Mus musculus: one gene and its partner. Each later gene encodes a partner of the first gene's protein in a complex. Links are inferred from orthologs where the notes say so. Each region holds a gene or a part of one and is shown in the gene's direction. Other genes may lie near its edges.

Evidence for each region.
Region 2: the proteins of Gnao1 (region 1) and P2ry2 are in contact, whole or in part, in a cryo-EM structure (PDB 9K20), measured with the Homo sapiens proteins. The link is inferred for Mus musculus from reciprocal best matches to the Homo sapiens genes GNAO1 and P2RY2. Residues at the interface, in NP_066268.1 of Homo sapiens: Ala31, Lys32, Asp33, Val34, Leu195, Gln305, Glu309, Glu318, Ile319, Tyr320, Cys321, His322, Met323, Val334, Phe336, Thr340, Asp341, Ile343, Ile344, Asn347, Leu348, Gly350, Cys351, Gly352, Leu353, Tyr354; in NP_002555.4 of Homo sapiens: Asn66, Ser68, His130, Arg131, Gly134, Val135, Pro138, Leu139, Leu142, Arg143, Met221, Arg224, Leu225, Ala229, Tyr230, Gly231, Thr232, Ser233, Pro237, Ala239, Lys240, Lys242, Ser243, Arg245, Thr246, Leu308.

Annotation. Positions count from the first base shown.
Region 1 is NC_000074.6:93,946,671-93,950,784, forward strand, and holds part of Gnao1 (guanine nucleotide-binding protein G(o) subunit alpha), read left to right. Parts: intron 1-2,733; coding exon 2,734-2,862; intron 2,863-3,631; coding exon 3,632-3,761; intron 3,762-4,114. UniProt on the Homo sapiens protein: Guanine nucleotide-binding proteins (G proteins) function as transducers downstream of G protein-coupled receptors (GPCRs) in numerous signaling cascades.
Region 2 is NC_000073.6:101,008,957-101,013,518, reverse strand, and holds the start of P2ry2 (P2Y purinoceptor 2), read left to right. Parts: upstream 1-1,520; 5' UTR 1,521-1,807; intron 1,808-4,562. UniProt on the Homo sapiens protein: Receptor for ATP and UTP coupled to G-proteins that activate a phosphatidylinositol-calcium second messenger system. The affinity range is UTP = ATP > ATP-gamma-S >> 2-methylthio-ATP = ADP.

The DNA of each region.
Region 1 (4,114 bases):
GTGGTGGCCACTTCTATTCAGACAACCACAGAACTAGAGTAAGACCAAGAACCTCTTCCCATTTCACACATGCGCATGGGATTGTACAGAGGCAGCTACCTAAGGTAGGTTGTGGTCACCCAGGCCACCAAGCCCTGTGAGTTCTCAGGGACACCTCTGTGAGCAGAGATCCAAACTTCCTCTGCACACACAGATCATAGGCCTGAGAATGGCCCCCCAACCAGTCATCTCCCTCCAGGACCTCCAGGTTAGCCCTGGAGGCTAGAGCTTCACTGCCCACCTGTCCCCTGCTGGTCCCCCAGGCTAGGGTTGACGTCTCTTCCAGGAGGACTGTCAGGCCCCAGAGGGCCTACTAGCCTCAGCCTGTCTTCTGGATGTCCACCAAATATTCCTCTGAAATTTTACCATTTTATTAACACTAAAGTAAATACCTTGTAAAAACATCTCAAAAACAGAGTAAGGTATGAAATGAACAGCAGTCCCCTCACACACACACACACTTACACGCCCATATATACTCACATACACACATACATACTATCACACTCACACACACATACACATATATACACTTATACACACTCACACACCCATATATACTCACATACACACATACATACTGTCACACTCACACACACATATACACACACACACACTCACATATGCATACACACTGTCACACACTTACACGTAGATACATCCTTACACACACACATACATTCCTACATATGCACACACATCTGTGCGCACACACACACACTCATACACACTGTCACACACATGCACACACACACACACATGCACCGCCTGTCACCATACCCATCAGCTATATTTATATTCTCATCCTGCTTCAGCTAATATTTCCTGACACTTACCTTGAAAAACGGAGTCCAGCTCACCTTCCTTCTTTTCACACGCTCCCACCACTTATGGTTTTCTGCTCTGAATCCCCCACTCCCTCTGAATCCCCCCACCCAGGCGCATTCTCTGGCTCTCCTTTGCCACATTCTCATGGTCATGTGTTCTGTGCTGCCCACCTGGAAAGAAAGCTAACAGGAAGATGGAGAGGGGAGACAGATACACAGACTGTTAAGGGTAGAAGGACCTCAGGTGTAGCTTTGCCTTGTCTTGCCTTGCCGTATATCCTACGTTTACCTGGAACGTACTGTATAGCTCAGACAGGCTTCCGACCTCTCCATTCTTCTGCATCAGCCTCTTGGGTGCTGGGACTGGGATGCCACCACATCTTGCTTTCATAAATGCTATTTGGGGTCCTGTTTTGTGCTTTTAGGAGTTAAACTGGCCCTGATAAGGCTGTGAAATCTCACAGCTCCAGGAGGAGCCATTAATCCCCAGTTAATCACCATACCACCCCACCCCACCCCAGCCCTGCCAATTGTAGACCCCAGCCAGGCTTGGAGCAGGCCTGTTCCTAGACTGCTGTCCTGGCCCTTCCACATCAATCATTAAGCAAGAAAATGTCATATAAACATGTCTGCAGACCAATCTTAGGAAGCCTTTTTCTTAATTAAGATTCCCTCTTCCCAAATATGTCCAGGTTTGTGTCAAGTTCAAAAAAACCAACCAGCATACATGGTTTGGGAGGCTTTGATGAGACTCAGCCAACATAAAGTGAGACCAGGGGCCAGCTTGTATGTTCAGAGGACGTTATCCCTCTGAGGTAGGAATAGCAAGACAAAGGAAAGGGTCCCCCAGGCCTGGTGTCCAACAGGATCATGGAGATTGGCCTGAAAGAATTGGCTATTAGTAGCTGTGGACAAGGAGAGTCGGCCACCTGAGGACTGAACATAAACCTTCCCAGATATACTCTGGTCTTCTAAGGTGGGCCCAGTATCACAGACCTGTTCTGCTGCCTCAGCTTCTTCCCTTGACACCCACTCTGCCTTCCATTGAGAGCATTTGGAGAGCCCTGATCCCAACCATCCAGGTTCCAGGGAGGTCCTACCACTGCTTGCCTGAGGTAGACACCCCCCATCCCACTTACAAAAGCATCAAATGCGAAGAGGCACACAGACCTCTTAGTAAAAAAGAAGAAAGTATCAGATGGTAGGTGGATGCGCAGAGCCTCTCAAAGTACCATAGAGCTCTAAGAACGAAGACTCTGGAGACATGGGACTGTCCTGCACTGAGCCTCAGATTTTTTAATGTGTGAAGCAGTACATTTGGCACAGAGAAAGTGAAGATGGAACATGAATACGTGTAAAGAATAGAACCTAGGACTGGAGGGGTGGTTAAGAGCACTGGCTGTTCTTCCAGAGGACTCAGGTTCAGTTCCCAGCACTTACATAATAGCTCACAACTGTGTGTGACTCAAGTTCCAGGGGATCTGGAACCCTCTCTGGCCTCTGTGGTGCACATGCGTGTGGTGCACAGACATACATGCAGATAAGACATTCATACACTGTAAAAGGGAACATACTCAAAAGAGTAGATGCTACCCATTATTGCCCATTATTATTTTTAAATGAAGGCATAACAGCACTGTGCTGTGAACTTGGTAGTCTCATTTGCTGGGTCTGTGTGCCCAGCTCCTTTGAGTCTGAATAAGAGGACCTTAGAGAGTCTAAGACCCTCAGGCTCTCTCTTGCTTGTCCCCACATCCATTGATACCACAGTCAACCTTGCAAAGGCTATGACTGATATCAGACTCTAAAGGTAGTGAGCCTAGAACAGGGCCCGGGTCCATGGACTCTTGTATGTTGTCATCCCCAGCTACCTGGACAGCCTGGATCGGATTGGAGCCGGTGACTACCAGCCCACTGAGCAGGACATCCTCCGAACCAGAGTCAAAACAACTGGCATCGTAGAAACCCACTTCACCTTCAAGAACCTCCACTTCAGGTGAGGCCTAAGGAGATAGGGCATGGTGATGGGCCCTGTGGTGGTGGGCCTGGGGATGTGGCAGAGAGACGAGGGAATGTTCATGCCCTGCCTCACTTTATCTGGATAGCCAGGTAGTGTCTTGCCTTAAGGACCTTTCTCATTTGGTCAGACAGATACCTGAAGAAGCCCATCTGGGTACTTGGTTTCTGCCAAGTTCAAAGGCTAAAAGCAGCAGGTGGCTTGCTTAAGAGCCCCCTGGAAGGGAACATGGCAGTAAGCCTCAACCAGGTGGGTACGCCCAAGCCATGCCTGGGAGACTAGAGCTCACTATAATCTCAAAGCTAGCGAGGCTGAGAGAGCAGCTCTCCTGCTCACGTGCTGGAGAACCTGGAAAGGGCGAGGCCTAAAAGAAAACCAGGTGTTCCCCAGACGCAGGCTCTGAGGGCCTAAGAACAAGGGCCTGAACTGTGCTGCCAGGTTCCAGGACTCTACTGGAGGTTATTGTCTCTCAAGAGTAACCTTCATGTGCTAACTAAGGCCTGGTGACCCATTCTGACTTCCAAGTTTGGTGTCTTGATATCAGGTGAAACTAGGAGACGGAGAGGTGAGGCAGGGCTTTGAGTCAGTCTATTTGAGCACACAGATCAGTCCTGGGACAGGTGTCACAGGGGATGAGAGCCGCCTGCAGTCCCCAGGGTGGCAGTGGCTCATCTGTCAGCCTGTTCCTCACTCTCACCTCTAGCTCTTAGGCGTCCCCGCCCTCACAGCTTTCCCTGACTCCCTGCAGGCTGTTTGACGTCGGGGGCCAGCGATCTGAACGCAAGAAGTGGATCCACTGCTTTGAGGATGTCACGGCCATCATCTTCTGTGTCGCACTCAGCGGCTATGACCAGGTGCTCCACGAGGACGAAACCACGGTGAGTTACCTCAAGTGAAAGCTGGCTATAGACCAAGTCAACAGTCCTCGGGCCTCACAGACAGGCTAGGCTGGGCACCCTTGCCTATTCTGTATTGCCAAGGGAGGCCAGTTCGGCAGAAGCAGCTGGGGGCTTCCTGCTGCAGTTTATATACAGATTCGCTACAGATAACATATCAGAGTTGGGGTCTTGGCTAGGACGCACCTTGTTAGTAAACAATGGAGTTACAGAGCTGTCAGACCAGAAAAAAAAAAAAAAAAAAGCAAATCCTACAAAGGCAGGCTGCAGCCAAGCAAGGGCATGCGCGCAACTAAAAGGATGGGTTTCACTTGTTCACTTGTCTGCCCTTTCCG
Region 2 (4,562 bases), on another chromosome or scaffold:
CTATAAACAAACAAACAAACAACAAAAAGAGGGCTGAATCTTAGAAAGTAGACACAGAAAAAGTGAAGGAAGACTTGAATCTGAGTACTCGGGCTTTACCAGGTCACCTGACATGATGTCATGTACCTTGGGAATGTCGTTTCTTTGGCTATAAAGTAAAGGAATTGGACCACAGCAAGGGTAAAGTCCAAGACTGCCCACTGTCCAGCCTGTGGGTCTTCTAGAGGCTAGGATCCATCCTGGGTCCTAGGGGAAGCAGCAGAAAAAGACCTGACGGCTCAGAAGGGAGATCAGGAAAAGGAAATCCGCTGGGATTTCAATAACCAGAAAGACTTCCCTCACACGAGGACCCTAAAGCCACAAGGGTGGCTGTGGAGAGATCTAGATTTCTGGAAGCTGCCTGCACCAGCTCCCATAGCCAGCAGAGGTTAGACAAGGAGCCTTTGTGTCTGCTCAAAGGCCCCAGGAGGCTGCAGAGAGGCTCAGCCACCCAGCTCTGTGTATTCACCCTTCTCACTCTGGACAGGGCTGCAGATCGGACCCTTTCTGGACCCCTCCAGGGGCTGCGAATGGGACTTTAGTCAGCGGATACACAACTAACAAAGTCTACAGCCCTTGGGCAGAGAGCAAACTCCTCACCATAGGAAAAGGCTTGTTCTGAACTTGTCCGTTTATTTGGCCACCCCAAGACTCCCTGGATGGACACGAAAAGTAGGATCATGGAAGGACTGGCTTCATTTCGCAGAAAATGTGTCTTACAGTGCTAAAGGTGGCCTAGAACTTATACTAACAGATGCCTGAGTCAGAAATGGGAGGGGGCAGACACCCTCTCATTCATCCACCCCTTCACAGGACAGCAGTGAGGTGGCTGGTGTGGTCCTTGCCTTTTTGAGCTCAAACTAGGACAGGAATGGGGTTTGTGACTACAGAAAGTCTTCAGAGCAGGCCAGAGAGAAGAATTGAGGCAGTTCAAGATGAGAGATCAAACTAAACCAGGACTTCATGGACCCGTTAGTGACCTGAACGAAGAGCAAAAGCAGACGGAGGTGGTGAAGCCGGCAAAGATTTCTGCTGGTACCAGCAGTCTGAAAGCACATCCATCTGTCCATCCGTAAGTGACGCGGGATGGGGCAGCAGCGGAGGGAAGGCTGAGGGTCAGTATAAAGGTCCATCGGTGGGCAGTGACAGGAGCCAGGCCAGCACAAAGCAAACCTTGTAAAACTTGGGCGTCGCTGAAAATCGGTGAGCTAAGCAGGTGACCTCTGCTCAGCCAGGACGGTCGCCTTCCGCCTCTCCTTGCTCAACAGCCGTGGCGGACACGCTGACCGGCGGCGACACTGACCGACCGCGTCCCCAAGCGGGTGGCAGACTGGAAGCATCTGTTTAGAAGGGTTGGGGGCGGCTCCGGCGTCTGCCCAGAGTCTGCCCCGCCCTCCTGCTCACAGCCAGGCTATGGGGTGCGGAGCGGGGCGGAGTAGGGCGGGGACCGCGGCGCTTCCAGGCACGTGGGACCCTGCGCCACTCGGCATGGGACTCGGGCACCAGGAACAGCGGCGGCAGCCCTTGGAGGGGACCAGCGCAGCGGGGAGGTGAGAGGTGCTTCCTAGAGGGGAGCGGACACCAAGAGAGGTCGCCAAGTGAGGCCTGGGGACGGGAGCGCCGGTCGAGTCAGCGCCAAACAGGGAGAGCCCATTACGTGACTGTCCCGAGGGCTCGGGCTCCCAGCCCTTGTACTGCGCAAAACTGGGCGGTGAGAGCCGGCTGCCGGTGCGCTGATGAACTTTGTTTCCTCTAGAGCGTGATCTCGGTGAGTGTCATCTTGGTGTGTTTACCAGCATACTGGGGGAATCTGTGTGTTAGTGGGCAAATGCGCACACCCTTAGGGTGTGAGTGACTGAACTTAGTCTGTGTGTACCCCTGGGGCGTAAGTCTGTGGGCTAAGAGACCTGGGAATCCTGGAGACTTCTTGCGCTTGGACTCTTAACTCTCCCCAGAGTCAGTCTGGGTAGCTCACTCGGTGTCAGTGAGGTGTCAGTGAGGAACCGGAGGCAGTGGCAGCAGCGGCGGGGTTGTGGGGTTGGGAGTGGGGGGTGCGGTGGGGTGGGAATGTGGGTTGCTAGTGCAATTTCATATAAGGACAGTTAAGACTTTGATCTGTCTGGAAACTTTTAATCGGGCAGGTGGTGCTGTATGAAGGGTCAGGCAGAAGAAAGACAGTGTTCACCTCACTAGGGCTACAGTGTGTGTGTGTGTGTGTGTGTGTGTGTGTGTGTGTGTGTGTGTGTTACTGATCTCCAGGAGCTAGACCCAAGTGTAGATCCTTCTGGGAACTAGCCTTTCCAGTTTGGAGATTTATAGGGCTAGGTGACTGCTGTGCTCAGAATGGCATCCCTAGAGTCCCTGGGTCAGCAGCCTTGTTTTGGATCAAGTTTGGAATAGTGGCTTTTGAAGATCAGGCTGGGGCGGCAGGGAAGTGGCAATTATCTGTGGGTGGGAGTGGGAGGAAGGAGAGTCTCTGAACAGACTCTACACTGCTGCCAGTGTGGGTCCTGCATGAGGGCTGGGGACAAGCCCTGCTGCGGAGGTCTGCCCCTCTCCTTTTCCATGCTTTGGATACTCCAGAGTTTTGAGGACATGGGCAGGTTGGCATACTGGGTAATCCTCAGAAATGGCTGCCCAGATGCAGAGTGAGGTTGTGGCCTTTCCGGGATCCCTTTTGCCCACCTACCCCAGGCACCAGATGAGCATGTGAGGATGTCACCAAGGCCTCATGGGTGACACCAGGAGTTCTTTAATTTCCTGGCTGTAGTCTTTCTTCTTAATGAGAAGTGCTTATGCTACTATTGGAATGTTGTTGAACTGTTACTTGTTACAGTTTATAAGAATCCCTCATCTTTTCCTCCTAAAGGCCCCATGAGAAAGGAACTATTGCCTTTATTTTGTAGATCAGAAAATAGAGGCTTGGAGAATGTCTTCTCTAAGGTCACAAAGCTACATAAATAAAACCTGGGACTCCGCTTACCTGCCCCAGCTGAGGCCTCCCTGCCCAGGGCCAAAGTTTCAGGATGAGGCAGTGCTACTTATTTCTAGGCTGAGGGGAGTTTGATTTCTCCAGTGTCTCACTCTGTGTCCTGGATGTCAGTCTATGGACCAGGCTGACCCCCAACTCGCGGAGACCTGTCCATAGCCTAACTCTGGAACTCTAGGATTAAAGGCAAGCACCACCATGCCTGGCTGCCCCCAGGAGCCTTTCTTTGGGTCTTTCTTGTGGCCTAATTGCCCAGCTGTTTATGGGATGACCACCATTATCCCCAGGTCTGCTCACAGGACCAGGAAGATCTTGCTGACCTGCTAACTAAGAAGTGCCCTCTGATGCATCTCTTCTCTCTCCTAACTGCCTTCCCTGAGCCTGTCTGTGCACCCTTTAACCTATAGTTTCCTCCTGAGATGCCTTTGGGTCCCTAAGCCATCAGAAGAGCCTAATGGGAAGAACATGGCTGCAAGACCCTCCTTACTCTCTAGAGAAGGTGGTTAGTTATATTATGAAGCCCGGCCATCTCTTTCTCACTTTGTCCTTATTATCTGGCACAGATGGAGCACATAGCAGGTGCCGGGGAGTAGTTGGGAAATGAGCAACCAGGTGCTGTGGGTATTCAGAAGAGAAAGGTCTTGATCCATGAAGAGTCGCTGTAGTGGATCCCCCTGTCCCAAGACAAGGTCTTATGAAGCCTAGGCTGGCCTTGAACTCAGTGTGTAGAATGACCTTAAACTTCTAATCTTTCTGCTTCCACCTCTTGAATGCTGGGCTCGTAGGCATGCACCCATTATATTTGGTGCTGGCAATCAAACCAAGGGCTTCCTGCATTCTAGGTAAACATTCTACCAACTGAGCAACATCCTAGTCCTTCAGTCTCAAGAGAGAGTAGCTCTCTATTGCCCTGTCTCCCAAACCCTAGGGCATATATCAATCTTGATATAGAATGAGTAGCAGGATTCTCTGATACAGAGAGTGACATCTGGACCCTGCTGGGCCCAACTGGATCCTCCATTTTGGTGTCCTGTCCCTGCCACTGAAGAAGAAAGGCCTGGGCACTAGGTCTTCCTCTGGCTTGTATGGATACAGTGTCCTGAAGAGTGCCTAGCCTCCAGTGCCATTTGTAAGAGAGACTTTGGTCAAGCCTGTGCTTGGGTTGGGAAGGAGGCTGACAGGGAGTCCCAAAGCAAGATGCTAGTTCTTCTGCCTGCATCATTATAACTATGGTGGTCCCCTACTCTCCAAACTCTGGTACTAACCACCTTCCATGTGGTACCATCTTTGTAAACTCTGAGAAAGCCTTCCCTTTTAATCTGGAGAATACGCTCTCAGCTTGGCATTTGAGCCCTTTCAAATGAATTCCTTGGCCCCCACACATTCCATGCCACATAACCATCCAAGCCAGCCACTCATGACCTACTGGCACTTCCTCAACAGCCTGTCCCCTTGCCCACTGAGTCTGGCTTGGACTTCCTCCCTTCTCTTCTGTCTTCTTCACAACCCCAAGTTATCTATTAAGGTCCAACTC